6 linked regions of the Macaca mulatta genome follow. The protein of the gene in region 2 binds, or shares a complex with, the protein of the main gene of each other region. Links are inferred from orthologs where the notes say so. Each region holds a gene or a part of one and is shown on either strand. Other genes may lie near its edges. The genes, in order: GPS2, TBL1X, CORO2A, HDAC3, ZYG11B and ZER1.

What was found.
Region 1: TBL1X (region 2) and GPS2 share a complex: the UniProt entries of both Homo sapiens proteins name them as parts of the N-Cor repressor complex. The link is inferred for Macaca mulatta from reciprocal best matches to the Homo sapiens genes TBL1X and GPS2.
Region 3: TBL1X (region 2) and CORO2A share a complex: the UniProt entries of both Homo sapiens proteins name them as parts of the N-Cor repressor complex. The link is inferred for Macaca mulatta from reciprocal best matches to the Homo sapiens genes TBL1X and CORO2A.
Region 4: TBL1X (region 2) and HDAC3 share a complex: the UniProt entries of both Homo sapiens proteins name them as parts of the N-Cor repressor complex. The link is inferred for Macaca mulatta from reciprocal best matches to the Homo sapiens genes TBL1X and HDAC3.
Region 5: TBL1X (region 2) and ZYG11B share a complex: the UniProt entries of both Homo sapiens proteins name them as parts of the E3 ubiquitin ligase complex. The link is inferred for Macaca mulatta from reciprocal best matches to the Homo sapiens genes TBL1X and ZYG11B.
Region 6: TBL1X (region 2) and ZER1 share a complex: the UniProt entries of both Homo sapiens proteins name them as parts of the E3 ubiquitin ligase complex. The link is inferred for Macaca mulatta from reciprocal best matches to the Homo sapiens genes TBL1X and ZER1.

The regions. Positions count from the first base shown.
Region 1 is NC_133421.1:8,805,850-8,811,230, reverse strand, and holds GPS2 (G protein pathway suppressor 2), read left to right. Parts: upstream 1-2,105; 5' UTR 2,106-2,212; intron 2,213-2,353; 5' UTR 2,354-2,422; coding exon 2,423-2,516; intron 2,517-2,876; coding exon 2,877-2,986; intron 2,987-3,070; coding exon 3,071-3,183; intron 3,184-3,314; coding exon 3,315-3,394; intron 3,395-3,485; coding exon 3,486-3,568; intron 3,569-3,749; coding exon 3,750-3,903; intron 3,904-4,001; coding exon 4,002-4,091; intron 4,092-4,180; coding exon 4,181-4,260; intron 4,261-4,347; coding exon 4,348-4,443; intron 4,444-4,627; coding exon 4,628-4,711; 3' UTR 4,712-4,807; downstream 4,808-5,381. Other genes in the region: NEURL4 (neuralized-like protein 4), read left to right, coding at 1,143-1,347. UniProt on the Homo sapiens protein: Key regulator of inflammation, lipid metabolism and mitochondrion homeostasis that acts by inhibiting the activity of the ubiquitin-conjugating enzyme UBE2N/Ubc13, thereby inhibiting 'Lys-63'-linked ubiquitination.
Region 2 is NC_133426.1:9,256,410-9,261,292, forward strand, and holds part of TBL1X (F-box-like/WD repeat-containing protein TBL1X), read left to right. Parts: intron 1-897; coding exon 898-1,019; intron 1,020-4,854; coding exon 4,855-4,883. UniProt on the Homo sapiens protein: F-box-like protein involved in the recruitment of the ubiquitin/19S proteasome complex to nuclear receptor-regulated transcription units. Plays an essential role in transcription activation mediated by nuclear receptors.
Region 3 is NC_133420.1:60,209,886-60,215,327, forward strand, and holds the start of CORO2A (coronin-2A), read left to right. Parts: upstream 1-1,969; 5' UTR 1,970-2,302; intron 2,303-5,442.
Region 4 is NC_133411.1:150,477,875-150,483,389, reverse strand, and holds the start of HDAC3 (histone deacetylase 3), read left to right. Parts: upstream 1-2,053; 5' UTR 2,054-2,112; coding exon 2,113-2,167; intron 2,168-2,272; coding exon 2,273-2,355; intron 2,356-3,943; coding exon 3,944-4,086; intron 4,087-5,515. Other genes in the region: RELL2 (RELT-like protein 2), read right to left, coding at 2-67, 464-647. UniProt on the Homo sapiens protein: Histone deacetylase that catalyzes the deacetylation of lysine residues on the N-terminal part of the core histones (H2A, H2B, H3 and H4), and some other non-histone substrates.
Region 5 is NC_133406.1:187,814,929-187,818,903, reverse strand, and holds the end of ZYG11B (protein zyg-11 homolog B), read left to right. Parts: intron 1-1,708; coding exon 1,709-1,899; 3' UTR 1,900-2,960; downstream 2,961-3,975. UniProt on the Homo sapiens protein: Serves as substrate adapter subunit in the E3 ubiquitin ligase complex ZYG11B-CUL2-Elongin BC. Acts to target substrates bearing N-terminal degrons for proteasomal degradation with the first four residues of substrates being the key recognition elements.
Region 6 is NC_133420.1:18,925,938-18,930,820, forward strand, and holds the end of ZER1 (protein zer-1 homolog), read left to right. Parts: intron 1-766; coding exon 767-869; intron 870-2,882; coding exon 2,883-2,940; 3' UTR 2,941-4,461; downstream 4,462-4,883. UniProt on the Homo sapiens protein: Serves as substrate adapter subunit in the E3 ubiquitin ligase complex ZYG11B-CUL2-Elongin BC. Acts to target substrates bearing N-terminal degrons for proteasomal degradation with the first four residues of substrates being the key recognition elements.

The sequences.
Region 1 (5,381 bases), on a different chromosome or scaffold from region 2:
TTCTAGTAGAGATAGGGTTTTGCCATGTTGGCCAGGCTGGTCTCGATCTCCTGACCTCGTGAGCCACCCGCCTCAGCCTCCCAAAGCGCTGGGATTACAGGCGTGAGCCACCGTGCCCGGCCAGTATTTAGTATTTTTAAAGGTAATAAGTAAGGACTATGGAAACAAAGAGTGGGGCGAAGGAGACAGCAGTGTGGCTGGTGTGGGCATCGTAAGAAAGAGTGGGGCGAAGGAGACAGCAGTGTGGCTGGTGTGGGCATCATAAGAAAGAGTGGGGCGAAGGAGACAGAAGTGTGGCTGGTGTGGGCATCATAAGAAAGAGTGGGGCGAAGGAGACAGCAGTGTGGCTGGTGTGGGCATCGTAGGAAAGAGTGGGGCGAAGGAGACAGCAGTGTGGCTGGTGTGGGCATCGTAGGAAAGAGTGGGGCGAAGGAGACAGCAGTGTGGTTGGTGTGGGCATCGTAGGAAAGAGGGGGGCGAAGGAGACAGCAGTGTGGCTGGTGTGGGCATCGTAGGAAAGAGGGGGGCGAAGGAGACAGCAGTGTGGCTGGTGTGGGCATCGTAGGAAAGAGTGGGGCGAAGGAGACAGCAGTGTGGCTGGTGTGGGCATCGTAGGAAAGAGTGGGGCGAAGGAGACAGCAGTGTGGTTGGTGTGGGCATCGTAGGAAAGAGGGGGGCGAAGGAGACAGCAGTGTGGCTGGTGTGGGCATCGTAGGAAAGAGTGGGGCGAAGGAGACAGCAGTGTGGTTGGTGTGGGCATCGTAGGAAAGAGTGGGGCGAAGGAGACAGCAGTGTGGCTGGTGTGGGCATCGTAGGAAAGAGGGGGGCGAAGGAGACAGCAGTGTGGCTGGTGTGGGCATCGTAGGAAAGAGGGGGGCGAAGGAGACAGCAGTGTGGCTGGTGTGGGCATCGTAAGAAGGTGGGAGAGATTCGAGCAAAGGCTTGAAGAAGGAAGTGAAGGGTGTAGCTGAGCAGGCTTTGGGAGGAAGAACATTTCAGGTAGAAAGAACAGCTAGAGTGAAGCTCCTATAAGGCGGGAGTATTTCCTAGGTACAGCAAGGCTTGTGTGGTTGGAACAGACTTTGCAAGGGGGAGGTGATGGGGAGAGAAGCTTCACTCCCTTATTTTTTCCTGTTTGACAGATTCCGGGACCCCAAATCCCAGCGGACGCACCAGGCTCAGGTGGCGTTCCAGGTGTGTGTGCGCCCTGGCTCCTACACCCCGGGACCCCCTTCCGCTGCCCTTGGAGAACCTCCTGACCCTCACTTCAGTCCAGCCGAACTTGAGTGGGTCACTAAGGAGAAGGGGGCCACACTCCTCTATGCCCTGCTGGTACGGGTGGAATGAGGGGTGACACACAAATACTACAAGCACAGTCGGGCCTCGGGCCCATGGACTCTGGCGACTGCCTCCACCTCATTCCCGTGACTCGTGGCATGCGCAGGTGCTGGAGCTTGGCAGCCGCGCAGGAGCATGTAGGCAGGCTCTCAGATGTAGGTGGCAAGTGGCACAGCTCCATGTCTGGAGGCCCAGCACTCCGTCTGATGGGAGGAGCCGTGGGAGCCCAGCTCCAGGCCCTGGTACCCCTCTTCATGCACTGATTTGGGGAACATGACTCCCTTTTACTCCCCTTCCCCACATCACTTAATTTATTTCCGTTTTTGTTTCTGGTTACTGTGAATCCCAGAGGAGTCTCTCCCTGTGCCCACATGAAGCTGCTTTTTCCGGGGCCACCGGGCAGGAGTGGGGAAGGGTGGGCGCACGGAAGATGGGGGCCTCTGTACAGTTGTTACTGACTCTGATTTCTAAGGAGCCAATAAACACCGTCTCAGAGCCTCCGCCTCGGCCTCTCTCTCGCGCGCCCCTCCCCGGAGCCCGCGTCCCCTGGGGTGCCACCAGGTGGGCCCGCGAAATTAAAGAGAGCTGAGGATGCCAAGACCAGTTTACAGCCCTCGTCGCCCGCGTTCCCGGCTACGGGGTTTGGACGCCGCGGGCACCCGTCGCAGCGCGCTTCCGCTTTCTTTCACCCAACCCGTGAGGTCGGCCGCAGCCGTGACTCCGGAAGGACTTGGCCGGGCCGCCGGATGTGACGTACGGGCCAGGGCGCGCCGGAGCTGCTGAGAAAGCGCAGAGAAGGCGGGTAGGGAGGGCTGGCGTCCGGGCTGGCTGGGCAGGGAGCGGCAGCACCGAGTCGGGGATCCCGGCGCCGCCCGTGCGCGCGGTGGAGCGGGGGCTGCGGGCCCGGCCGGGTGGCGGGCTCCTGGGACACGTGACCGGGGCGGCTAGCGGGTCGGGCGGACGGGCTTCCGCCTGGGCCGGGCGCGGTCCCCTCTGAGCGCCCGCCTCCCCGCAGGCGCCGTCTGAGGTCTGGCAGTCAGAGACAGAGCCGGGCGCCCACGGCCCGAGCGCCCACGGCAGCACCATGCCCGCACTCCTGGAGCGCCCCAAGCTTTCCAACGCCATGGCCAGGGCGCTGCACCGGCACATTATGATGGAGCGGGAGCGCAAGCGGCAGGGTGAGCCGGGGCCATAGCGGGGGGACACACGGCCCAGAATGGCTCCTGTACCTCAGGGTTGGCCTCAACCCAGCGGCCAACCAGTGAGCCCGCTGCCGAGCGCAGAGGAGGGAAGGAATAGCCCCGTTGTGGTGGGATTTAAGCGTCCTGGTCCACGCTCCAGAACCCTTGAGACGGGAAGGACCTTGGAGAGCACCTGATAAAGCCTCTCCGTTCCCTATTGCAGCGATGGGGGAGCTTGTCCCCTCGAGGCAAAGAGCGCACAGGCGTGTTGGGATGACTGGGTTTTGCTGGTCTTCAATCTAACGTTGGAACTGTTTTCACTACCCTGCCTCTTCTTCATTCTGCCTGATTCTCCAGAGGAAGAAGAGGTGGATAAGATGATGGAACAGAAGATGAAGGAAGAACAGGAGAGAAGGAAGAAAAAGGAGATGGAAGAGAGAATGTCACTAGAGGAGACCAAGGAACAAGTAAGCAGTCCCTTGAACTCTCCCAGCTTTGATTTCTTCCCTTGACTCTCCCTGCCTTCATCTTCTCTTCCCACTCCCTCCCAGATTCTGAAGTTGGAGGAGAAGCTTTTGGCCCTACAGGAAGAGAAGCATCAGCTTTTCCTGCAGCTCAAGAAAGTTTTACATGAGGAAGAAAAACGGAGGCGAAAGGAACAGAGGTGGGATCAGAGTGCTAAAAACTGAAATGGGGGCCAAGTGGAACTGGGATCAAGTAATAAAAGAACTAGTGTTTAATGGCGAAAGAGAAGGCATCTGTCCTTAGCTTTGACCTGCCTTCCTCTCACTCCAGTGACCTGACCACCCTGACATCAGCTGCATACCAGCAGAGCCTGACTGTCCACACAGGAACTCATCTCCTCAGCATGCAGGGTGAGGACTAAAGAGACCACCTGATGGAACCGGCCTTCTTACAGGTTGCAGCCTCCCATTTCAGCATCATGAAGCCCTTCTCCCTTTCTAGGGAGCCCTGGAGGACACAATCGCCCAGGCACCCTCATGGCAGCTGACAGAGCCAAACAAATGTTTGGACCCCAAGTGCTTACGGTGAGAGTAGGATTGGATGCCCAGCCCCTACTGCTTCCATCCATGCATCCTTGCCACCAGTATTCAAGTCACAAACATATCAAGCACTTAAGTTTAGGGGGAAATGCGGCATACAGATATACACAAGTCACTGGGTTTCAGCTTTCAAGTTTATAGGCGAATTCTCATTCTCCCTCCTTAGACCCGGCACTATGTGGGCTCAGCAGCTGCTTTTGCGGGGACACCAGAGCATGGACAATTCCAAGGCAGTCCTGGTGGTGCCTATGGGACTGCTCAGCCCCCACCTCACTATGGGCCCACACAGCCAGCTTATAGTCCTAGTCAGCAGCTCAGAGGTGAGTAATAGGAGGGATGGGGCTTGGCCTTCCTCAACGTCAAAGGAGGAATGCCATTGAGTAAAAGGTTTTAATGGCTCTGTCTTTTCCTTTCTCAGCTCCTTCAGCATTCCCTACAGTGCAGTACCTATCTCAGCCACAGCCACAGCCCTATGCCGTGCACGGCCACTTTCAGCCCACTCAGACAGGTGATAACATCCCATGCAGGAGCTCTAGCTCTCTGGGTCCTCCCCTCCCTGTTTCATTCTCATCTCACATGCCCCTCTTCCCCACGTAGGTTTCCTCCAGCCTGGTGGTGCCCTGTCCTTGCAAAAGCAGATGGAACATGCTAACCAGCAGACTGGCTTCTCCGACTCAGTGAGTATGGCACCTTGGGAGGTCAGGGTTAGGGATATGTTAAGGGGAGCTTCAGTATGCCTCAGGCCCTGACTCTGTTCTCTGCAGTCCTCTCTGCGCCCCATGCACCCCCAGGCTCTGCATCCAGCCCCTGGACTCCTTGCTTCCCCACAGCTCCCTGTGCAGATGCAACCAGCAGGAAAGGTAAGAATGATAATAAAGTTTACCTGTCAGAATCCTTACACTAGGGATCCAGAAAAGCAGGATTAGGTAGGACCGGTGGCCCACATCACCTGGTTTTTCTTCCTCTCTGGGGGTGGTTACCAGTAGGGCATTAAGTGGGAGAGTACGCCCAGTGACAAAGCCCTCTTTTCATCACCACCGCCAGTCGGGCTTTGCAGCTACCAGCCAACCTGGCCCTCGGCTCCCCTTCATCCAACACAGCCAGAACCCGCGATTCTACCACAAGTGACGATCAGATTATATCTTCAACATCATGCCCCCTGCCCCACTGTGGGTGAGGATACCCCCCGTGTGTCCCAGGCCAATAAAATCTACCTGCCACTGACCCTGGCTGCTGCTGTTTGTGTTGCCTCCCACCCAACTGTCTGGAATAGGTCAAGGCTGCTTGGGGGGTGGGGGGATGACTGGCAGGTCCACAGCAAGTCAGTGATAGACAGCGGGTTCCATGAACTCAGTGGCAGAGTTCAGTCTTTTTGTAGCTTCCAAATATACCCATTTAATTCAAATAAGCAGCTGAGTTGGGGGCTTCATATTAAACTTGTAGTTTTATTCAGGTTTGATTTTAACAAATGTGTCGGGGAGAGAGCCCGCAGGGAAGGGTAAAGCCCACGGGGGCAGGGCCCTCCCAGATGCCTGAGGAGGGGGCAGGTCCCCTCCCCTCTCCTCCTCTTCCCTCCCCATCTAAAGGGGTTTGGGGAGAGACACAGGCAGGGGAGGGGGCTGGTCCCCAGTCTGTTGGGGTGGTGCTCAGGGTAAAGGGCTATGGGCAACAGGGGACCAGACCAGGGCTGAGTGGGGAGGGCACAAGGACCATTTGCCAGAATCCACCACTTTGATTCCAGATTGAATTTAAAAAAAAAAAAAAAAAAAAAAAAAAAAAAAAAAAAAAAGACTAAACC
Region 2 (4,883 bases):
CGTTGTTCTGTCTTTGTGACCCTGAGCCACCTGGACTTGGAAAGACCCAAAGTGAGGGAGGGTGTTGGTCACAGGCCCTGAAGCACACGTCCCATTTCGTCCCCAAAGGGGTTCTTATTGACTCTAATTATCCCATAGTTAAGGGGATGCCTTAATGTGTTATGGGAGAGTATTTTTCATATTGAGGTATCATGAACATAGGACATGAAATCTTTCCTCTCCTATTTTCTCCTCTCTGTCTAAAATCAAATAAGCTCACTCTAGAGATGCCGCTGGAAGCAGCAAGGTACAGAGCAGGCAGGGTGGCCCTCTCACCTGCCCTTCTTAACTGTGCCATGGGAGCGGGAGATTCTGCAGGCCGTGGGGTGCAGGAAGTGTCATGGAGCCTCTCTCCCAGGACATCTTGTCATCCCTGCCAGTGTGGCAAGAGAGGGTCTTTAAAGTCTTAGAAAGAAAGAGACTGTGTTCACACTTGAGATGTTTTTATCATGTCACTAAATGGGGCTTCTTGGCTGGGTGCAATGGCTCACACCTATAACCCTAACACTTTGGGAGGCCGAGGCGGGTGGATAGTTTGAAGTCAGGAGTTCAAGGCCATCCTGGGCAATATAGCAAGAATTCGTCTCTACAAAAAAAAAAAAAAAAATTAGCCACGCGTGGTGGCGTGTGCTATTCGAGAGGCTGAGGTGGGTGGATCCCTTGAGCCCAGGAATTCTAGGCTGCAGTGAGCCATGATCACACCACTACACTCCAGCCTGGGTGACAGAGCAGGCCCTGTCTCTAGAATAAATAAATAAGTAAACTAAAGAGGCTTCTTGACTGTGCTGTTCATTGTTGTAAATCCATGGAGCTGTGCACACAGTGAATAACTGCAGGTGTTCTCCCTCCCTGCTGCAGCCCCTGCCCTTGATGTGGACTGGCAGAACAACATGACCTTCGCCTCCTGTAGCACAGACATGTGTATCCACGTGTGCAGGCTCGGCTGTGACCGCCCAGTCAAAACCTTCCAGGGACACACAGTAAGTGAGAGCTCTTGTCACTGATCTCGAGTTCGTGAGAATGTGATGTGGGAGCCGATTCTTGTGTGCCTGGAATTAAAAGATACTGCAGCAGCAGACCAGCTCTTCTGCGCCCCTTGGCTATTTGAGCCAAGGTGGTTGGATTGACCCAGTTTGGGGTCAGCAGTGAGAAGTTCACTCAGAAATGACCTAGATGGTGGATTTGGCAGCAAAGCCTTTAAGGTAGCTATGAGAAACATGTAGAGGACATCAAGGAAACGGTGCTCACAATGAATGAATAGACGGGGCACATCTGCAGTGAATGGAAAAAGATATGTCATTAAAAAACAAATGGAGACTAAGTGTGGTGGCTTATGCCTATAATCCCAGCACTTTGGGAGTCTGAGGCCAGAGGATTGCTTGAGGCCAGGAGTTTGAGGCCAGCCTGGGCAACATAGCAAGACTCTTGTCTCTACAAAAAATTTTTAAAAGTAGCTAGCTGCGTATGGTGACGCACACCTGTAGTCACATCTCAGGAGATGAAGGCTGCAGTGAGTTACAATAGCACCGCTGCACTCCAGCCTAGGCAACAGAGCAAGACCCTGTTTCTTTAAAACATAAAAAAAAAAAAAAAGGAATTGAGAACTGAGAAATACAATGTTTGAAATGAAAGTTTTAATAGGTGGGTATATTAGGCAGTTCTCAATTCTCTCATTGCTCTAAAGAAATACCTGAGACTGGGTAATTTATAAGACCGGAGGTTTAACTGGCTCACAGTTCTTCAGGCTATACAGGAAGCATGGCAGCATCTGCTTCTGGGGAGGCTTCAGGAAGCTTCCAACCGTGGCGGTTGGTGAAGCAGGAGCAGGCATCACACATGACCAGAGCAGGGGCAAGAGGTGGGAGGAGTAGCAGATGATCCAGACACCTCACACCAGGGACCACCTCTGCATCGGGGATGACAGTTCCACCTGAGATTTCGGTGGGGACACAGATCTAAAGCACATCAGTGGGTATACCAGCAGATGGGAGACTGTGGAAGTAAGGTTAGAAAGCATAGAAATTGGCCAATTTGAAGAACAGATAAAAGATCGAAAAATTGCATAAAGGCTTAATGACTTACGGGACAATATCAGGGACCCTAAACCTATATGTGTGATGGGGAGAGAAGAAAGAATGGAACAGAAAAATCATGTGAGGCACTAACGGCCAAGGTTTCCTAAATTTGGTGGAAAACATCAACATTTAATCCAAGAAGCTCAGCAAATTTCAAGCAGAACAAATATAAACAGAACCACACCTGTCCACCTAGGCATATGGTCATCAAACACCAGAATCAATGACAGAGAAAATCCTAAAGGCAAGCAGAGACTGACAAAAAAACCCATGATATACCAGGGAACGACAGTGTGAACAACAGCTGACTTAGCAAATTCCTTAGTGTGGCCTCTGAGGGCTTCCCGGTCTTTCACCAAATCTCTCTCAGATTAGCCAATTTCTGTGGTCTCTAACCTTCTGCAATCTCCAATCTGCTGGTAGACCCATTCACTAGCCTCGACCTCCAACCTTGGCAGGAGGAGAAAGCCTCCCTTTCCTGGGCCCTTGGGCTAGTGTCCAAAAATGCCCTGTACCTCTGTCCTCCCAACGACACATACAGCCAAGCACCTTGCCCCACGCTGAGCCTTGCCTGGAACCACAGCAGCTCTTGGTCTGAAACAGAATCCTCCCCACTCTCCAGGCCCGTTCACGTATCCTCTGCACGCCCTGGGGAGGATTCATGGCACCCCTTGAGCTCCCATTGACCACGTGAATGCCACAGCCCTGGCAGTAGCTGCTGGCCTGCATGTCTGCCTCTCCCAGAAAATGCAGAGTGCATCAACGCTGGGACCATGGCATCTTGGCTTTCTCTCACTAGCACCCAGAATATCTCCGCGGTGGCGGGGGGTTCCCTGTTAAAGCAGGGGAGGATGATCACAGGCCCTGGAGATTTGCCATCGTGCCACTAACTTAACTAATGTAAATTCCCTTGTCCTCATTCTCCTAGTGTCTACCTCTCCCTGCCCCTGGCCCAGGGGTCCCTGTCCCAAAGGAAGGTGCTTTTAGAGCACAGGCACCCATCGTCCTGTTAACATCTGTTTGGCTCCAAACTGACTCTCTTGTCCCAGTCTAAACTTATTTCTCCTCTAACCCTGGACTATCTGCAAATTTTTACCAGCTGCACACACTCTCTGTGGTTCCCAGGTGTCCTGCCCAGGACCTTGCCACCAGCACAGGCCTTGGCCCTTTAAGTGGGTCTTAATGCAGCTGATGGCCCTGAACAAAGCTCTAGCTCAGTGGGGTTGAGTGGAGACCCATGGGCCAGCTCTGGACGTGGCCCAGGAACTTGGGCTTGCATTGCAGAGTGAGGGATCCGCTCCCAGGAAGTTATTTGTTCCTTTGCGTTGGTTTGGCTAGGGACGGCCCATGGTGAGCGGCTCCACATTCCTGGGCCCGTAGGTTTTCCTCTGAATGGCTGCAGTCAGAGCCACCCTTGCTGGCCTTGGCACACACATTTCACACTCACAGACACCTATGCGTGCGTGTACTCACACCCCTCAGCCCCCTCTCCAGCATGAGTGTGAAATTAGTTAATTGTTAGGCCGGGACAGCAGGTGTCACATAGTGGGACTGTACTGGATATATGGGGCCCGAGGGAGCCCCAAGCTGGTACGCCATGTCCCCTCACTTCTCCTGGGCAGGCTGTTCCCCAGCTGAGCCTTTGCCACAGGTGGTTCTTTTATACATGCCTGTCTCGGGAGTGTCCCTGTCTCCCTTGGCTCCCGGGTACATTCATTCACCTTTATTCTGCAGGGTTTAGTCTCGTGGTCCCCAGGTGTCCTAAGTCTGCGCTTTTTGCCACCTAGCTGTGCCGATCATGAACCCCAAGCCAGGATTTTGCCTGTGCCGTGTGCGTTTGTGCCACTCAGCACTTGCCTCTCACTGTCCTTGCACATGTGTGTGTCCGCCTGTGTGTGCATTTGGGTTGCCCATCTTCCACCTGCATCAGTCCTAACCCCGCTTGAACTCCACAATAGCTGAAGGTTCACTTCTCGTATTTACCCCTCCCTCCATCTCCACTCGCCTGCAGGAGAGAAATATCTTCTAATGGGTGTGGTCACGGGGAGGAACTGTTGCACTAAAAGTACGTAAGAGGCCTGGCGTGGTGGCTCACACCTGTAATCCCAGCACTTTGGGCGGTCGAGGTGGGAGGATCGCTTGAGCCCAAGAGTTCAAGACCAGCTTGGGCAACCCCGTCTCTATAAAAATACAATAAATACATACGTACATACATAAATGGCATGGTGGTGCCTGCTTGTAGTCCCAGCTACTTCGGGGGCTGAGGCAGGAGGATTGCTTGAGCTCAAGAGGTTCATGCTGCGAGGACCTGTGATCCTGCCACTGCACTCCAGCCTGGGAGACAGAGTGATACCCTGTCTGAAAAAGAAAAGTGCATAGGAAAGTGATTTTGAAAGGCCAATTTAAAAAGTAACTGGTTTTACTGGTTTTATTTGCTGCGTTTTATGGTACGTGAATTCTTCACTTGCCTTCCTTCCTATCAGGGAAGGTTTTTTTCTTAACGAAATATGGATGAGGGTGGCTGGTGATGTGTGGTATAGGGCTGTGGTTTTATATAAATGAAAAAGGCAAAGTGAGAAAAAGAGGAAACTAGATGGCTGGTTGGGCTGTGCTCTTTGATGTCAGGGTGAAGCCGAAGACCTTCTGCAGTGACGGTGACGCACTGCTGCCCCCTGCTGGAAGGCGGCCTCATCTGCTCACAGGCCCTGATGTCTTTTTCAGACTCTCTGCTCTCTTTCAGAACGAGGTCAACGCCATCAAATGGGATCC
Region 3 (5,442 bases), on a different chromosome or scaffold from region 2:
CCACGTGGGGCATATAGATGGAGAACTTGTCCCCCACCCCCACCCCACACACATATGTTCTGGTCCTACACAAGATGTTTACCTACACATGGAAGATTAACAAAGCCGGCCATTGGGCTCGGTGGCTCACGCCTGTAATCCCAGCACTTTGGGAAGCTGAGGCAGGCAGATCACGAGGTCAGGAGATCAAGACCATCCTGGCTAACACGGTGAAACCCCATCTCTACTAAAAATACAAAAAATTAGCCGGGCGTGGTGGCGGGCGCCTGTAGTCCCAGCTACTCAGGAGTCTGAGGCAGGAGAATGGTGTGAATCCAGGAGGCGGAGCTTGCAGTGAGCCGAGATCACGCCACTGCTCTCCAGGGTGGGCAACAGAGTGAGACTCCGTCTCCAAAAAAAAAAAGCCAGCCATGTGGGTGCACTGGGAAGGAGGAAGAGGGAGGTTTCCTGGCCCATCCCAATCCACACTAAGGCCTAATAGAAGGTGCTAGCAGATGGGCCCAACTTTGGAACCAGACGTGCTATGTGGTTTTCTAGCTAGGGGATCCTGGGTAGGTCATGACCACTGTGGCGTCAGGTTCCCCATGTGTGCAATCCTGAATCTCGGCTCACTGCAACCTCCACCTCCTAGGTTCAAGTTATTCTCCTGCCTCAGCCTCCCAAGTAGCTGGAAATACAGGCACATGCCACCACACCCGGCTGATTTTTGTATTTTTACTAGAGATAGGTTTTCACCATGGTGGCCAGGCTGGTCTTGAACTCCTGATCTCAAGCAGTCCACCTGCCTTGGCCTCCCAAAATGCTAGGATTACAGGCATGAGCCACCGCGCCCAGCCATCCATATGCTTCTTTGAAAGTTTAGATACCCAACTCTTGCATGCTAACACCAGAAGCATGCGTTCAGCCTGCCTGCTGGGCAGTCCGACTCCAGAAGGCCTGAATCAGAGCTGTAGGCTGAGGGTTTTCAGGACCATACTGCACACTGGGCTTTAGGTGGTAGGCAGGGAGCCCGTCCATCTCTGGGCAGGGGAGTGGTGCAGTGGACTATGAAAGCTGAGTCACATTCTAAGGAGAGAATCAAGAGCTCCCCAAGTACCTTGCCACTCCAAGCCTCAATTTCTTATCTGTAAAATGGAGGTAATAATAGTGGCTAAATAAAGGGGTTGCTAGGCTTAGAAGAAATGATACAGATATGTAAAGTAGTAATAGTGTACTCTGTCATCCACTCCACAGCTATATATTGAGTGCCTACTATGTGCCACGGAGCAGTTCAAGGCCCTCAAGATAACGGTCTTTACTGAACAAAACCAAGAGCTCTTCGGAGACGTGGTGTGGTAGAGTGGCTGTGAGCTTAGCAGCCCTGGGAGCCATACTGCCTGGGGTCGCATGACTAGCCGTGTGATCTTAACCTAGGTACTTAACCTCTGTGTGCCGCAGCTTTCTTTTGTGTTAAATAGGTGAGTAATGGTATCAACCTCATAGGCCTGTGTGACAGTGAATGGAGGTAATGCACAGAAGGCGCTTAGAGCAGTGCGTGGCTCAGTAGTGTTCGGTAGGGGTGGTACCCAAAGGTAGGGCCTCCCCATTGTCTAGTGTCCTCAGGGCTCCCCAGCCGGCGAGGCTGGGCAGCAGCGCCCCCGCTGGTCCCGAGAGAAGGAAGGGCGTCCTCCTCTGCTCCCAGCGGCGCTCCCGGCTCCTCTCCTCCCTGCGGACTGGGAAGCCTCGGTAACAGCTGTAACTGCTCGGGGAAAGGAGCGCTTCCCCGGTCGGGCTCTGCGCGCGCACTGTACCTGTCCGGGATTGTCACATCCAGGGCTCAAACAGCCTTAAGAGGCCGACGCGGTTATTGTCTCCATTTCACCACGGGGGAAACTGAGGCTCCCGGAGGTCAGGTTCCTCATCCCACACCACGCAGAGAGGGCACGGCGGGACGTGGGGCCGGCGGCTCTGCTTGTCCCCAGCCTCCGCCTGGTGGCCAGCAACCCGCCCCAATCACTGCGACGTGTGCGCGCCTGCTCCCAGCACGTGTGCGCGCCCCGAGACCCGCCCCGGGAAGCCAGGAGCGCGGTTGGGGTCGTGGGGGCGGAAAAGGGTGGCCAGGGCGGACCCGCGGGGCGGGCGAGAGGGCGGACCTTTGGCCGGGCCCCCGCCCCGCCTTCCAGCCCCGCCCGCCGGGCTGCAGAGGGAGGCGGCGGCGGCTCTGGGCGCCGGGAGTCGGCGGGCGGCGAGGAGCGCGGAGCCGGAGCTGGACGCCGCCGCCGCCACCGCCACCGCCACCACCACCTGCGCGGCCGTCATCAAGGTAGGGCGGCCCCGCGCCGCCGGCCGTGCCTTCCCGGTCTGCGCGATGGGGACGTCGGGCGGGACGTGCGCACTGAGCCCCCCGCGGCTTCAGCTCTCGGAGAGGGAGGGATGCGGGGCTCGGCGCGCGGGGGACCTGGCTTTCAGCCCCTTTGCGTGACCTTGCACAAAGCACTGCTCCTCTTCAGGCCTCAGTTTCCCCGTCAGGATAGCGGGCTCATTGGTGGCCCCCTTCTCTCGGGGTTGTTGGGAGGGGCCGCCCCGAGGTCCGCGCTCCCGACGGCTCGCTGCCCGCATGAGTACTGTCTGCACCTCCCACCCCTCCAGCCCGCGGTGAGGGAAGCGCACTCTGGGCGCGGCCAGCCGGTTCCTACAGGCCCCTGCTGTGGCCCGGGTGCTCCATGGGACTCTTGTCGGGACCCTCCCCCTCTTGGCTGCGTTACCTGCTGGGCCTCAGCTTCCTGGTACAGGAAACGGTGGGGTGGGGGGCATCCCCGGGTCCCCGCCAAGCCGGCCTGGGCGTGCAGGTGGGGCATCAGCCGGCCCACCAAGAGGGTTTACTCGTCTGGGGCTGGAGGAGCCCTAGGTTGGAGGTGGCTGGACTCCTGGCGGCACGACTGCCTGGACCAGCCCCACGTAGGCACCTCGATTTACAGAGTGGTACAGGACAGCTCCTTCCCCTTCCCCACCCGGGCCAGGTGCTGGTGCCTAGCTCTGTGTCCCAGAGCTAGTGTGTGATAAGGTGTGACACACACTAGCTGGTGTGACAAGGGTTGACTGGCGGCCACGCCTGGACCTCAGAGGGGTAACAATGCCAAGGGGCTGTGTCTGCGTGGTATTAAGGGATGGGACAGAGCACAGGTCTGAGGGACTGTGGTCCAGGCTCCCTAGGTAAAGAAGACCTATGGCATCTGGCCCAGCCCCTCTGTAAGACCCCCTCTGGAAGGTCTTGCTGCCCCCTTGCACACTCCTTGTGATGGGGATCTCATTAGTTGTAAACCAGGCTGGAATCTGCTACCCAGTCACTGCCTCTCCTGCTGGTCCTGCTCTGAACACACAAACAACCTCTGACCCTTCCTCCCTCACCCTGGAGCAGTGATCAGGTCCCTTAAGTATGCTCACCTCCAGCCCCAGCAGTTTCTCCCATCAAAGCCCAGGGAGCCAAGGCAAGAAGAGGGAGCTGAGGTGTCTGCCCCAGAGCAGACTGTGGGACCTCCGCTTTCCCGGGGGTTGTTCAGAACCCACCTGTGCCTCAGAACTGGAATATGTCTCTCGAGCTTCCTGCCCCTCCTGGGGACCTTCTGAGAGGTCTGGAGTGAGGAGAGCCGGAGCCCCTCTGCAGGCCTTTCCTGCCCCATGTGGCCTCCTCTCCACCTGCCTGATGCCTGCCCTTTTTGAGGGAGCGGTGTCTAAGAATCACTTCTCAGCCTTCTGGACTTTCTTGTCCCCTTCATGACCTGCCCCGCACCCAGGGACTTTCTTACAGCCAAAAGAGGGCAGGAGGCCCCTGGACAGGTCGTGAGCTCTTTGTCATCACAGGTATGCAAGCAGAACCTGGGGTGAGCTACCTCGGACTGAAAGTCTGTGGAATTCTAGGGCTGAAGTAGTGCCTATGACCTTGCCCTGCGGCCATGGTGGAGCTGCACAGGACTGGGAGCCGGACCACAAATGAGTGTTATTATCCCCTCGTAAAAGCAGGCAAAGTATACGTGCTGGCCCATGAGCCCAGCTCCGACGCACAGGCTTAAGTGCTACCTGGGTCTCCTGTCATCTCGACACATGTATAATCTGGGCCCTGTTTTCCTGCTTGCCTAGTGTAAGCCTTTTTGGCCTGATTTAGGAGCATGGCAGATTCGGGTTATTAAAAAGTCATGCTATGACTTTAATTGCTAATAGTTTTTAAGTGCACCATGGAATTATGGAATGTCTAAGCTGAAAGGAGCCTTAAGACATCTTCTCATTCAACCCCCTCATTTTACAGATAGGCATCCCCTGTCCCCAGAGGGGATGTGACTGGGCAAAGGTCACACAGCAAACCAGCAACCGAGCCCAGGGATCCTGATTCCAAGATTGGAGTGCCTTTTTTTCCCCCAGAAAACACATAACATTTAATAAATGAAAGGAGGCTGTATTTATTCCTGTAAAATTAGGAAAAATAAAAATAAAAGGATGAAACTCTGCGCTGGCAAGGCTGTAGGGATTCGCCTGTGGCATTTAATTTTGCAGAGCAATCTGGTAGCCTGTTGTCATGAAAATGACCCTACTTGCCCTTTGCCTTTAGCCAGCTACTTTGAGGGCTTTATCCTAAGGAAGTAACTATAGAGAGAGACATATGTAGTGCTGTTATTTGTAAGAAGTTGTCTTCTGGCCTGGGCGCAGTGGCTCACACCTGTAATCCCAGCAGTTTAGGAGGCCAAGGTGGGCGGATCACCTGAGGTCAGGAGTTCGAGACCACCCTGGGCAACATGATGAAACCCTGTCTCTACTGAAAATATAAAAATTAGCCAGGTATGGTGGCACATGCCTGTAATCCCAGCTACTCGGGAGGCTGAGGCAGGAGAATCACTTGAACCCGGGAGGCAGAGGTTGCAGTGAACCGTGATTGCACCACTGCACTCCAGCCTGGGCGACAGAGCGAAACAACATCTCAAAAAAATAAAGAAAGAAGTTACCGTCTAGTGAAGAAGTGTTCAGTGTTTTATCTGAGGCTTAATAAACATTTCATTTGACAAATACAACTTAAAAAAATAGTGGCACTGAAGCTTACAGTACCAGAGTCTGGTCAGCATAGAAACAGTTTAATCCAGAAGAAAGACCATGAGACTAAAGTCAGCAGACATAGATTCCAGGATGAAGTGTTCCTCTGCCCTACCTTGGGCCAATCCGTTCCCCTCTCTGGACCTCACTTTCCCCATCTGTGAAATGAGGGTAGACTCAGCAGTTGCTGAATTTGTTTGAGCTCTGACAGCCAACCTCTTAGAGTGAACAAATCTCAGTAGCCAAGCCGAGATTGGAAGGAGATTCGTTAATTGAATCTCCTTAGAGGCAGGCAGCTAGCTCCCCACCGAGGGGTTTCAGCCTTAAATCTCTGCTATTTCAAAATGACCAGAAGCTGGATTGTTTTAGAAGTTGGTGTGTTTT
Region 4 (5,515 bases), on a different chromosome or scaffold from region 2:
CCTTCATTTTGGATGATGCAGCGAACAATCCTCTCTACTGTGTCCTCATTCATGTCATCGTCCTCAGCTGAAGGATGAAAGAGATTGGCAAGGAAGCAGGAATGAGTCAGCTTTGGGGGAACATTACCTGGTGGCTCCCATCATTTATTGCTTAGGACATACCCTTTTACCTACTTGCTATCATGCTGGACCTCAGCATTTCAGGGACCAGAAAAGATGGGGACACCAATGCAAGCCCAAGACTACCATCCAGAGGACCCTTGCTGCCCATGCTGCCTTCTCTAGTTTTGCTTTCAGAGTGGTGTCACCCCACTTGCTAACTCAAGAGTGCATCACTAAGCTTCCTGAGCAGGCTTGATCAGGATTTGGCCTGGGTCTGTTGGTCAGGGAGGCAGAGGTGAGGGGCAGAGGTGTGGGGAGAAGGGTGAAAGGTTACTGAGCCAGGGTTCCAGGCTCCACTCACGGGGCTGAAGCTGGGCATCGTCAGGCTCGGAGCCCCTCGACGTGCGGCAGCGGTAGCCCTTCTTCTTGAGCACGTGGCAGATCATGAAACCTACCAGGCCCATGAGGAAGAAGACCAGCACAAGCAGGAAGAGCATATACAGCCCATGTTGGGGCGGTTCCAGGTCAGGCTGTGGTTCCGACATGAGGCCCTGGGGGGCGAGCGCGGGCCAGGGCGCCTCCTGGGTTTAGGAGGCTGCAGCTGGGAATGGGGGAGGGGTAGGAATGCAGTTCTCAGGATCTGAAACAAGCACGTCTAAGACGTTCGGCTAAGGTCCGGCTCCACCCCCTACCCAACCAGGGAGCTGTCCGGGCCAGGGGTGCTGTTTCGTCAATACGGCCCAAGGCAAGAGGTCAGCGGCTACGCAAGCTCTCTACCACGACCCTGGTCCCGCTTCCCCGACGCCCCGAGCGTTCCCCTTTCCAGCTCGTTCGCGCTTCCGTCCCTCCCAAGGACACTGCAGCACGAGATGGGACGGAATTCTTAGGCGGCGGGAGCAGAAATCGTGCCTGAGTCAGCGCCCGCACCTCCTCCGCGCCGGCCTGAGCCAGGCCTCTGCAGCCCCCTCCTCTCAGTACTCCCGCACCCCTCTCCCTTTTTGGTTTCTCCCACCCTGACCACCTGGCCCACCCGGTACCGGTGATTTGGTTCTGGTTCCGGCTTCTGCTCAGGTTCCGGCTCCAGGGGCGTCCTAGTGCGGCTCGGGGCCCCCGACGCCCTTCCGGCGCTCATCCCTTGATTCCTCCCCTCCCCCTTCGCCGCCTCACCGGCCCCGGGCTGTGGCTGCGGATACCCGCGCCGTGGCAGGCGGGGGGAGGGAAGGACAGAGAAGGATGCGGGCTGACTGAGAGCGGCGGCAGGCTCTGGGCAACTCCGGCCCTGGGTCAGGGAGATCGCCTCCGCAGCCGCCCTGGCTTCCCAAATGCCTTCGCCCGTCGCGGGCCCAGGACCAGGAGGCGGAGCGCAGGTGTGCGGGGCGGAGAGCGTGAGCTCTGCGCGCGCGTGACTGCGCCTGGCCCCCCCGGGGCAATGTGTGGCGCCGAGTCTAGGTCCGGGTAGGGGACAGGAGGTCCGGCGTGGGTGTTGTCCACTGGTCTATCCGCTACGCCTGGCGCAGCTCCTGCCCTCAGATGCCCCGACCAAGCGGAGAGTCAGGAATCTTCCCCGAGGGCTGGGGGAAGCCGGCTTTCCGCACCTTTGAGGGACGGCGTGGCGGGATCTTCGGAGCTTCCTAGAGAAGTGACCACGGCCTGCGCCCGGTTTGGGGCAAGCGGCTGGATGGGATGGCTCAGCTTCCCGAGGATCTGACCCCCGGCCGGAGAGAAATGGCCCTTGCATCCTAGGAGCGATGCTACCAGTTCCCCGCCCAACCCGGGACGCTCAAAGCCGCAGCTCCCGGGAGAGCGGAGCCAGGCGAGGGGCGGAGCTCCCCCGGGGGCGTGGCCTGGGTGTGGCTGGAGGCGGGACCGCAACGCCCAGTTCCGCAGAGGCAGGCTACGTGCTTGCGCAGCACGCACGGCTGGGGCGGGGTTGGCGGCGGGTGGCGGGTGGCGGGCCGCGGGCGGCGGGCGGCGGGCGGCGGAGGCGCGGGGCCTGCTCCCGCCGGCACCATGGCCAAGACCGTGGCCTATTTCTACGACCCCGACGTGGGCAACTTCCACTACGGTGAGGAAACAGGGCTATGCATGAGGGTTGGGACGCGGAGGTTTTGAGGCGGGGGTTGCAACTCCAGGGGTGAGAGCTGACGAACTCTTTTCTCCCCACCCCCAGGAGCTGGACACCCTATGAAGCCCCATCGCTTGGCATTGACCCATAGCCTGGTCCTGCATTACGGTCTCTATAAGAAGATGATCGTGAGTTTCGCCGCCTCGGCCGGGGGTTGGGGGGGGGTGGGGCGAGCTGTGGCGGAAGGGATAGGTGGGCTGGACTGAGTGCATCAAGTGCGACCAGCCCCTAGAGTAGCGGGGAGCTGGATAGAAGACACCGGAGTATCTTGAAAGTGCCGGGTGTTGGAGGTGGCGTCCTCTGCTTAATGGAAAGTACTTTCTCAGCTCAGGTCGGCCACCCTCTGACTGTAGGCACCCTAGCCCTTGGCCTAGGGTTAAGGTGATGTGGGGGCTGGTTTGAAGACAGAAGGAGTGTTCCTCCTCTGCATTTTAGAGTGTGGATAGGGCCTTGGCCTCAGGAATTAGGTTTAGGGGAGCGGATATCACTGTATCAGGGTGTAAGGTTTACCCTCAGTTCCCACTCCTCTTTTGCCACCTTTTTTTTACCTCCAAGGAGCTGGGGCTCCAGGGTGGGACGATACTACCGTGTTTCTAAATGTGTATGTGCGTGTGGAAGAGAGGAGATATCTTAGGTATTCCTTTTTCAGCCCGGAATACCTCTACATGGTTCTACTTAATCGCTATCCAGTTTTTCATCTCCCAGACATACACATGCTGTCTTCCCAGCTTGGAATTTATGGCTGTGATATGGCATAGTAACAGTTAAGCCAGGCCAGGTGTAGTGGCCCATGCCTGTAATCCCAGCACTTTGGGAGGCTGAAATGGGAGGATCGCTTGAGGCCAGGAGTTGGAGACCAGCTTGGGCCACAGTGGGACCCACATCTCTACAAAAATAAAAAATAAAAAAAGTAGCCATGTGTGGTGGGTGTGCCTGTAGTCCCAACTACTTGGGAGGCTGAGGCGAGAGGATGGCTTGGGCCCAGGAGTTTGAAGTTACAGTGAGCTATGATCAGCAGCCTGAGTTGACAGGGAGGACCTTGTCTCAAAAGAAAAAATAAGACAAAACAGCTAAGCCCAGGCTTTATGTGTTGCTAGGGAAGCTAGTGAACAATATGAATGAATGTTCATTGCTTGTGCCCAGGCACAGACAAATAGATTGGTCATAGAAAAGACTGAGGTGATGTTAGTGCAGGAATCTTTATCCCTTGAGATTGTTTGCCTATATGTACCTGTGTGCATTTTCTGGGAGAAAATTTGTCCAGTTTTCAAAGAGATGTGACACATCCCCCCGACCTTCCAAAGATAGTAAACTTCTGATTTTAATTAGAAAGTTGACATATATGCCATATATTTGACTCCAGAAAGAAGAATCTGGAGGAAAGAGGACAGAATCAGAGCTTGGGGGAGGAGATGAGCGTGGAGAGAACTGGGAATAGGAGATCCAAGGAACAGGGCAGGTGGATCAGGGCTCAAAGTTGAGAAGGTACAATAGGCTGAGCTGGAGGTGGAAAGGAAAAGAAATGGTCTTCAGGGGGCTCATTCGTAATAACTCACCTGGTTAATTGGAGTCTCTCTATTGACTTAAGGATTGTGGGATGAGGGGAATGCTATATTTGGCTTCATATAGTCTCCAGGGCTGGGTTCAGTATGGGTGGTCTGAGCCTGTGGAGTGGGGCTGACCCTGGCTAGGTTCATCTTGTGTCTCCATCCCGAGGTCTTCAAGCCATACCAGGCCTCCCAGCATGACATGTGCCGCTTCCACTCCGAGGACTACATTGACTTCCTGCAGAGAGTCAGCCCCACCAATATGCAAGGCTTCACCAAGAGTCTTAATGCCTTCAACGTAGGCGATGACTGGTGAGGGAGGACTGGGACTTTTGATGTCTAATAGTTTAATGCCAAGCCCTTCAGTGAGGTCTTTTGGCAGCAGTGGGAAGATCTCAAGGGGGGCCTACTTGTCAATGAATCATAATTCACTTACTTGTTTATTCAATAAATATTTACTGGTCACTTGTTCTAGGCCAGGCCCTGTGCTAAGTGCTGGGAATGCAGTGATGAACAAAACCAAAATTTTAATACTGTATTTTTGCTAAGTCTTATGAAGAGGAGGTATATGACAGATTATGAGAGTATATATGTGGAGAATTGTTTAGCTTGGTGTAGTGGCTGGTCGGTGGGGCCTTCCTAGAGGAAGTAAAGATTGAGCTGAGATCTGAAAAAAGAGTAGAAGTAGTGAGATGAAAGGTGGTTGAAGGGTGAGGGGAGGAGTATAGCAGGCAGTAGGGACAAGTGCTAAGGGTCCGTGGTAGGATTGAGTATGACTCATTTGAGGAACAGAAAAAAGGCCAAGTGCAGAATATGAAGAGGAGGTGAACTGAATTGAGGCTAAAGAAATAGGGCCTTTTTAAAGTAAACAGCTCTATTATGAATTAGGGTTTTTACTCCTAGAGTAGAGGGAAGCTATCAAAGTTTTTTAAAAAGTCCTGATCATAAGAGGGCTATGGGCAGTTAAGAAAACAAAAAAACAACAAAGGAGTGGTTTGATATCGTTAGGTTTACATTGAGCTGGTATCATCCATAGAAGAGTCAGGATTAGACCCTGTGGGGAAAGGAGTGGACAACAAAGATAAGCCATGATCTTTGCTTACACTCTCCTCTACATCCATGAAAAAATAGTAAACATCATAGCCACCAGTTCCTCAATTCTACTTATTTTTGTTTTTAAGCTTTCTATTAGGGAAAATTTCAAAAATTTCAGAAAGTGAAGTAGTGCAGTGACTTCCCATCCGTCACCTAGCTTCAACACTTATGAGCAAATGGCCACTCTTTTTTTTTTTTTTTTTTGAGACAGAGTCTCACTCTGTAGCCCAGGCTGGAGTGCAGTGGTGTAGTCTTGACTCACTGCAACCTCCGCCTCCTAGGTTCAAGTGATTCTTATGCCTCAGACTCCTGAGTAGCTGGAATTACAGGTGCCTGCCACCATGCCCAAATAATTTTTGTATGTTTAGTAGAGATGGGGTTTCACCACGTTGGTCAGGCTTGTTTTGAACTCCTGACCTCAGGTGATCCACCAGCCTCAGCCTCCGAAAGTGCTGGGATTACAGGCATGAGCCGTTGCGCCTGGCTGAGCAAATGGCCACTCTTACTTCATCTATACTCCCTCATGTTAGATTGTTTTAAAGCAAATCCTAGATGTTATATCCTTTTATCCATAAATATTTTATTATGTATCGCTAAATGATACTCTTTTAAAAGAAAAAGTATCATTATCAAATCTAAAAAGTTA
Region 5 (3,975 bases), on a different chromosome or scaffold from region 2:
TCCTGATGACTCAAGGAATGGACCTTTCACAGTTCAGTAGGAGAAAATAAAACATAATTAATAAATAATAGTGCATTTTCGGCTGGGCGTGGTGGCTCACGCCTGTAATCCCAGCACTTTGGGAGGCCAAGGCGGGTGGATCACAAGGTCAGGAGATCGAGACCATCCTGGCTAACACGGTGAAACCCCATCTCTACTAAATATACAAAAAATTCGCTGGGTGTTGTGGCACACGTCTGTACTCTCAGCTACTTGGGAGGCTGAGGCAGGAGAATCACTTGAACCAGGAAGTGGAGGTTACAGTGAGCCGAGATCGCGCCACTGCACTCCAGCCTGGGCGACAGAGCAAGACTCTGTCTGAAAAAAAAAAAAATAATAATAATAATAATAATAGTTCATTTTCATACAAGTATTTATTTTTGTCAATACTTTTAGGTATTAGTGTTATTTTGATTTTACTCTATGGAATGACAGCCCTAAATAATTTCTTCTAAAATGCACTGTAATTTGGGGAATGTTAGAATATTTGGTCTCCAACTCAAGATATTTTAGGTTCCTACCTTGTGGGCTTATTTTGTTTATATTTAAATGGAATTCACTTCTATTTGTATTAAAATGTTTTAACCTGGCTGGGTGTGGTGGCTCACACCTGTAACCCCAGCACTTTGGGAGGCTGAGGCAGGCAGATCACTTAAGGTCAGGAGTTTGAGACCGGCCTGGCCAGCCTCGTAAAACCCCGCCTCTACCAAAAATACAAAAATTTAGCCAAGTGTGGTGGCTGGTGCCCACAGTCCCAGCTACCCAGGAGGCTGAGGAAAGAGAATTGCTTGAACCCGGGAGGCAAAGGTTGCAGTGAGCCAAAATTGTGCCATTGGACTCCAGCCTGGGCAACACAGCAAGCTAATCACACCGCTGGGCATGAGCCATGATCACCCCAGCCTGGGTGACAGAATGAGACTGTCTTAAAAAAAATAAAAAAGGCAAAGAAAATATTTCAAAAATTAAAAAATTGTATGTGCAGTATGACTGCCATTAGGTTTTTAAAAAACATAGGAAATGCAGCCTGGCACTGTGGGTCATGCCTTGTAATTCTATTACTTTGGGAGGCTGAGGCGGGAGGATTGCTTGAGGGCAGGAGTTTGAGACCAGTTTACACAACATGGTAAAACCCCATCTCTACTAAGAATAAAAAAATTAGCCAGGGGTGGTGGCGTGTGCCTGTATTTCCAGCTACTCGGGAGGCTGAGGCACAAGAATTGCTTGAACCCCAGAGGCGGAGGCTGCAGTGAGTCGAGATTGCACCACTGTACTCGGGCCTGGGCAACAGGGCAAGACTCTGTCTGAAAAAAAAAGCAAAAAAAAAAAAAAAAAAGCATAGGAAATGCATAAAAATATAACAACACTTACCTGTGATTTTGGGTCAAAGATAAGGTAGTTAAGATTGCTTTTATTTTTTTTAATACAGATTGTGTATGTCTTGAGGTTAGAAAAAGCAAGCTAGCTATTTATTGATTGAATGTGTAGGCCTTGCACTGTAGACATAACTCAGTATAGAGGTTTTTATCAAGCTGTAACATGTTAGTAATCAATAACAAAACACCTAAAAAAAATGGCTCCTAGAAGTCATTTTTTTGTGGAATAATTTTAAGTGTTTTAAGAAAAGCTATTTCTCCTGTTTTGTGGTGTTTTTTTTTTTTTTTTTTTCCAGCTTCAAGGTATTGCAGCATGCTGATTGAAGAAGGAGGACTGCAGCATTTATACAACATCAAAGATCATGAACATACTGATCCCCATGTCCAACAGATTGCTGTGGCCATTCTGGATAGCTTAGAAAAACACATTGTGCGCCATGGGAGGCCACCTCCCTGTAAAAAACAGCCCCAAGCCAGACTAAATTGATAGCCATAAGTATTGGATAATTGAATTACAGGAATCCTTTTTGTGATTGGTCCATTTGGAATATCTTACCCTCCGTGATGTTTTGGGGGTTTCTATGACCGGAGTCATAAAATCAGTTTGGGATTGGTAATGTATAGTACTGCCCATGTGAACAGTCCCTAATTTGTCTTGTGATTTTTAACTTATGAGTCAAGAAGGGTCTCTTCCTTTATCATTGCCTTTTAGGAAATTTTCCACATCTTTCAGTGTTTGAACTTACTTGTGCTTGAGATTCTACAGTTTTATGGTAAAGTTTGCACGAACCCTCAGGCCAGACTTTTCGAGTCCCTTCCAGTCAATTTGCAGCTTCACATAAGCTGTTGACCTGATTTCTGACACTGCTTCAGTTGTAAATTTTATACTGCTTCTGTATAAAATGGCTTTCTTCTCTATCTGTGTATCTTTTATAAGATGTCCTTCTTAGTGTGAAAGAAGGGAAATGTGGATCATCTTGTAGAAGCTAATCACTGGCAGGAGCCTGGATGGCTGGTGGAAAGATGTATGAGAAAGAAAAACTATGAAAGGAGAACGGAGTGTAGGAACTGGGAATTGCTTTCATGGTGTAGATTTTAAAATGAGACAGGCTACCCTTCAGGAGTCTACCTCTCTTGAGGCAGTGAGCAGAAGCTTGTTCTCCATATTTATACCTAGAAGCGTGGACTGCTGCTTCCTGCACAGACTGCTGGTTATTCTCTAGGAATATTTCTCCAAGCACCACAGTATAAAATATTACAGCACTCTGTGTTAAAGACTGTCTACATCTCCCTATGTCGTATTGTTGTGAAAATGTGATTTTAAAAAATTATCGCCAGTCAAAACTGGCTATTCTTTTCCTCTATTTCAAAATCATTTTTGTTCAGTGGAATAGAGTCAACAACATGGTGTTAACCTCTCAGTTAAAATACAATTGACACCAGTAAATTTTGCCATGAAAAGTTAAAATCTCTTGTTCAAAATATGTCTATCTTCTTAATGTGTTCATGTTGGAGAAAGTGTCCCCGTCTGCCAAAAATGAAAGAAAAGAATTAAACTTTTTAAGTGGTTAAATGTAATGACTCTACTCACAGTGCATAACAGCACATATTTTTGATGGATTATTTTTTAGACAATTACCTTTCCTTAAGGTATCTGATACAGTATAGTAAAGAATCACTTATATCAGTAATAGCACTTGGGAGATAGCAAGTCACCAAGAAACTTAATTTTCATTTAAAATTTTATTTTGTGAATAAGGTCAATCTACTACAATCGCAGATAACCACATTTTTTTTTCATAGATGGCCAGTGTTTTCAATAGGTATTTAAAATGGAATATTTAAATTATAATGATTATTCAGAAGCATTTTAATTTAGAAAGGAGCTAGTTTATTAGTTCACTGATGACATTTTTTGACAAACATTTTATACCATTATCACAATAATCAGACTTGAATTTTTTTTGAGTTTCTTCATGTGAATGAAAATTGAGTTAGAAGAAAGTAGGTATTGGCCGGGCGCGGTGGCTCAAGCCTGTAATCCCAGCACTTTGGGAGGCCGAGATGGGCGGATCACGAGGTCAGGAGATCGAGTCCATCCTGGCTAACACGGTGAAACCCCGTCTCTACTAAAAAGTACAAAAAACTAGCCGGGCGAGGTGGCGGGCACCTGTAGTCCCAGCTACTCGGGAGGCTGAGCCAGGAGAATGGCGTAAACCCGGGAGGCGGAGCTTGCAGTGAGCAGAGATCCGGCCACCGCACTCCAGCCTGGGTGACAGAGCGAGACTCCGTCTCAAAAAAAAATAAAATAAAATAAAATAAATAAAAAAAAAAAAAAAAAAGAAGAAAGTAGGTATTTAGGTCCAAATGCAGTGGCTCATGCTTGTAATCCCAGCACTTTGGGAGGCTGAAGCAGGAGGATTGCTTGAGCCCAGAAGTTCAAGACCAGCCTGGGCAACATAGTGAGACTTGATCTCTACCTAAAAAAAAAATTTTTTTTTTTTTTTTAAATTAGCTGGGTGTGGTGGCGCCTGGACAACAGAGCGAGACTCTGACTCAAAAA
Region 6 (4,883 bases), on a different chromosome or scaffold from region 2:
ACGTGCCTGTAGTCCCAGTTACTAGGGAGGCTGAGACAGGAGAATCGTTTGAACCCAGGAGGCAGAGGTTACAATGAACTCAGATCACGCCACTGCACTCCAGCCTGGGTGACAGAGTGAGACTCTGTCTCAAAAAAAAAAAAAAAAAAAATTATGGCCGGGCGCGGTGGCTCAAGCCTGTAATCCCAGCACTTTGGGAGGCCAAGACGGGTGGATCATGAGGTCAGGAGATCGAGACCATCCTGGCTAACACGGTGAAACCCCGTCTCTACTAAAAAATACAAAAAACTAGCCGGGCGAGGTGGCGGGCGCCTGTAGTCCCAGCTACTCGGGAGGCTGAGGCAGGAGAATGGCGTAAACCCGGGAGGCGGAGCTTGCAGTGAGCCGAGATCTGGCCACTGCACTCCAGCCTGGGTGACAGAGCAAGACTCCGTCTCAAAAAAAAAAAAAAAAAAAAATATATATATATATATATAATATATATATATATATTTTTAAGATTTTATATATATAAAAATTTTTTTTAAAAAAAAGAATGAGCTCTGGAAATAAATACAGCAACTTCAAACCAAGGAGTCACCTCTTGCTTCCCCTACGTGGATGCAGAACTCCCACCCATGGGGCTGGGCACACGTCTTGCCCCCACCAAGGCCTGTGCCTTCACACCCCCAGCACCAGGATAGTCCTCACAGACAGGGTGGGTTTCTGGGCCTCGGGCTGATCAGAAGACCATCCTGATCCTCTGCTGTCTGCTCCTATCCCACAGCGGACAAGTACTGCCCTCTGCTGATCAAAGAAGGGGGGTTGCCCCTTCTGAGGGACATAATTAAGATGGCGACCGCACGGCAGGAGACCAAGGAAATGGCCCGGTAAGAGACTAGCAGTGTGTTTCTGCCTGGAACCTTGATTTGGGGGAGTAAGGGCATAGCGGGCGCCCTCTGGAGGTTAGGAATGACTGAAATTCCCGGGGCAGCTTGGGGTTGAGTACAGAGGTTGACAGTGTATTGATGTCCAGCTGGGGCCTCTCCAAATGTCATCTTGACCACAGTATGGCTGGAAACTAGATGACCAAGCTCTGAACGGAGCATCAGGGCCCTCGTTTGTAAGCTTCGTTTTATTTTATTCCCAACAAATTCCATCCTTTTATCACCGGGTATTAGCAAGTGAGGTCAGAACTTTTCATTGTTTGGCCAAAGACGTTCCCACTAAAGAAGGGACATGGTATGGTCAAATACATTCTGGAGATGAGACGAGGCAGAGTGCAAGTGAGCTTGCTGAATGTGAAGGTCGCAAACATGGTAGAGTCCCGGCCTTCTGTGGCTGTGTGGCTTTCACTGCAGTGTCTAAAATGCCACTCCCTCCAGTTCTCAAGTCAATCAGGACAGGAGAGACTCTCAGGGATGTGACATGTCGAAATCGTCAGAAACGACCTTGTTTTCTCCAGGATTCATTCTAGAAGGGACAACAGTCAAGCTGACCCAGCACACTTTTTCATGTCTCTGTATAGAGCAAAAGGTCACATGGAGGAGGGGCCTGGAACTCAGAGGCTCCTCAGACAGCCACTTCCTGGGCCCAGGCAGGGAAATGTCACCTGGTTCTATTATATCTGCCCAAAGGCACTGCTGGCCAGGCACAGGGGCTCACACCTGTAATCCTAGCACTCTGGGAGTCTGAGGTGGGTGGATCACTTGAGGTCAGGAGTTCGAGACCTGGCTGACATGGTAAAACCCCATCTCTACTAAAAATACGAAATTAGCTGGGCGTAGTAGTGCGCACCTATAATCCTAGCCACTTGGGAGGCTGAGGCGGAGAATCACTTGAACCTAGGAGGCGGAGGTTGCAGTTAGCCGAGATGGTGCCACTGCACTCCAGCCTGGTCAACAGAGCGAGACTCTGTCTCAAAAAAATAAAATTTAAGAATAAATGGACAGGAGCCACCCCTAGGTTTTCTTTTCCAGTGCATCTGGGAGGTGGGAGGTGGCCCTGGAATTTTCATGGTTAACAGGGATTCCCGGGAAATTTGAGAAGCACTGGGTAAGACTGACCAGTTACCTACCACAGTCACTTTGAACATGTGTCCAAGGCCTGTGATGGGAATCTGAGGCACTGGCCTATCTGACAGCAAGGAGTAAATGACCCTGGATGATGCTTAGGAGAAGGCTCTCGGCCTGTCCACTGGCCCCTCTCCCACTCTGGGAATTTGCTTCCTAAAAGGTATTGGGGCACCCCTTTAACACACAGAGGCTGCAGTGAAGCCCCCAACCCACAGGCTTGGTGTTGAATGGGCAAGCTCTCCGGGTTCCAAGGTGACAACTGACAGTGATGGGTGGCAGGGGTCAGGCTGGGGTGGGTGAGACTTGAAATCTGAGCTGGAGTGCTGGGCCCCAGCTGCCACAGGGTAGTGGGGGCCCTTGTGCGAACACAGCTGTCCCCACCCCACCCTGGACCTGCCACTGGATCCGGGCCTCTGGGGGAATCTGATGTGCAGTCAGTTTGGGGACCACTGGTGGACTTCTGGAAAGAGAAGGGTCTGGTGTGCAGGGAAAATGAAGAAGGAAGAGGTCACTGAAGAAAGTTCCAAAGGGTTCTGGAGGTCAGGCCTGAGCTGATTTGGGGACCCCTATCCACAGATGCCCTGGAACTGGGGGTGGTGGGAAGGAAGGAAGCGGAGGACAGCTGGTGATGGCATTCACGGCCACAGGTGCCATTCCCTGAGTCCCCTGCACATGCCAGCCACTCTGCCAACCCCTCCATCCACATCATTCAGTCAGCATCACCATCACTGTGAACACGTGTTTACCCAGCTGCGTGATGACCTCGGAGGGGCTGGGCTCAACCCACCCAAGCCCACCCTCCAATCCTGTCTCCCTCATTGTCTCCAGCAAGGTGATTGAGCACTGCAGTAACTTTAAAGAGGAAAACATGGACACATCCAGATAGAGGCCTCCACCCCCATGGCCACCACCGCTCTGGACCACAGGCGGGGAGGAAGCGTGCTCAAGCAGCCCAGCGGGCAGTCCCCTTCCGAGGGAGCCCCCCACGGAGTGAAGAGACATGGGGGACTTTTGCACAACCGACGCTTTTCCTTAACATTAGTGAGATATATATATTATATATATATTTTTTTTTTGGTTAGGAAGTGTGAAGTTTTGTGTGTATGATTTCTGTACAAAAACAAAAGCAACACTCCTGAGTCCTTGCAGCTTCCTTGGCCATTCTCAAACCCACTCAGCCTTCATCGCTGACACACTCACTCCTACCCCAACCAGACTAAATGCCTATAACGCTGTGAGTATCCAGTCCTTGTCCAGGAAACTCAGACCCCAGTCTGGCTTCCTTTCATGAGAGGAGCAGGCCTTGGACAGTGTATCCAGCATCCTGACCCACTGCCCATGCCTGAGAACTCCATCTCGGCTCCCGGGCACAGCTGATGGGGTTTGGGGATTAGAACTTACCCCACTGGGTCTCCCAAAAGCCTTGGTGCTCCCAGCTGTGGGCCATCTGGGGCAAGAAAGTGAGCTGTTCCTAGGCTAAGGTCCAGGCAGCCCTGCCCCTGAAGACCTTCCAGGAGCAGGGCGCCCAGTGGCCCTGCTGCTGTCCGGCCAGGCCTGCCTGAGGCCACGCTGCTATGGAGGCTGCCTCCTAGTCTCCCACCAGGTCCCAGGCTGTGGAAAGCCCCAGCCCAGGGATGGTCAGAACTCGGGGGCAGATTCCACTGCCCCTTCTGCCAAAACACATCCAGAACCTGCCCCCTGCCCTGGAAGCCAGCATCTTCTGGGGCCAGGGGCTTGCTTCCTTGCTCCACAGCCTTCAACTGCCCAGGCGCTCCCACCAGCAGAACTGAGCCTGCCTCCTCATCCCAGCCTGCCCCGCTGCCCAGAGGACCCCACGCCTCTCAGAGGCAGAGGTCCCACGCCAGCCTTTGACCCACAGCGGCCACACAGCCGCCTCCAGACCAGCACTCAGACTGCCCTGCAGTGGCTGCTTGGGCCTCTCTGGCGGTCCCACCCTGCCCTCGGCTTTACCTTGGAAGCCTGAGAGGCGCCGGCTCTCTTGTGCTCCTCCCTCGGTGGACGCTGCCTTGCTTCTCATCGGACACTTGTGGATCACAGGGGCCTGGGGAGCAGCGCTAACCCTGGAGGCAGCCTTTGGATGATGGCTTTTTCTTCCCTCTTCCCTCTGCCGGCCTGTTTTCAGGTGTTCCTAGCATTTCCGCCTCCAGGCAGGACGGGATGGGTGAGCAGCTTTGGGAGAGACACCTGGCCTTTTTCTCCCAGAGCCTCTCCCTCCCTGTCCTGGGAAGTGGGCGGCAGCCCTGTGTTCCCCCAGCTTGGCAGATGGGCTGCATGCAGCGCTCCCTTCCATCCCACGCTCAGTGGCCCCGGCCAGACCCTGGCAGAGTTCACACCTCATTGCTTTACCCCCTGGGGCCTGGGGAAATGTCTGTACTTTGGGATGTCACAGAAATACATTTTTGTGCAAAATGGAGAACAGAGCGTCTTTTTTTGTGGAGGGGATTGCTAGCCTGGCTTCCAGGCTCTGGAGCAGGACTTGAGCCACCCCCGGCAGGGGGACGGCAGTGTGGGTAGTTCTGTGGTAGGGAGGGGTGTGTTTGGTAGGTTAAAGGGCTGCAGGCTGGGGACAGGTGGCAGGGGACTGAGCTGGAGTACCTGTTTCCTATGCGTTCTCTTCACATCCCTGTGCCCACTGAGGACACAACTGGCAACCAGACCAACAGGGTGCCTGCCCAGGATGGCTCAGCCTGATGGGGGAGACAGATGGCAAATAGAAGATAACGACTCTGTGCCACCAGCAGGGAGAAGGCAGCGGAGGGAGTGGGCAGGCAGGTCAGGGAAGCCTGGAGTCCGCTGGGCCACAGTGCT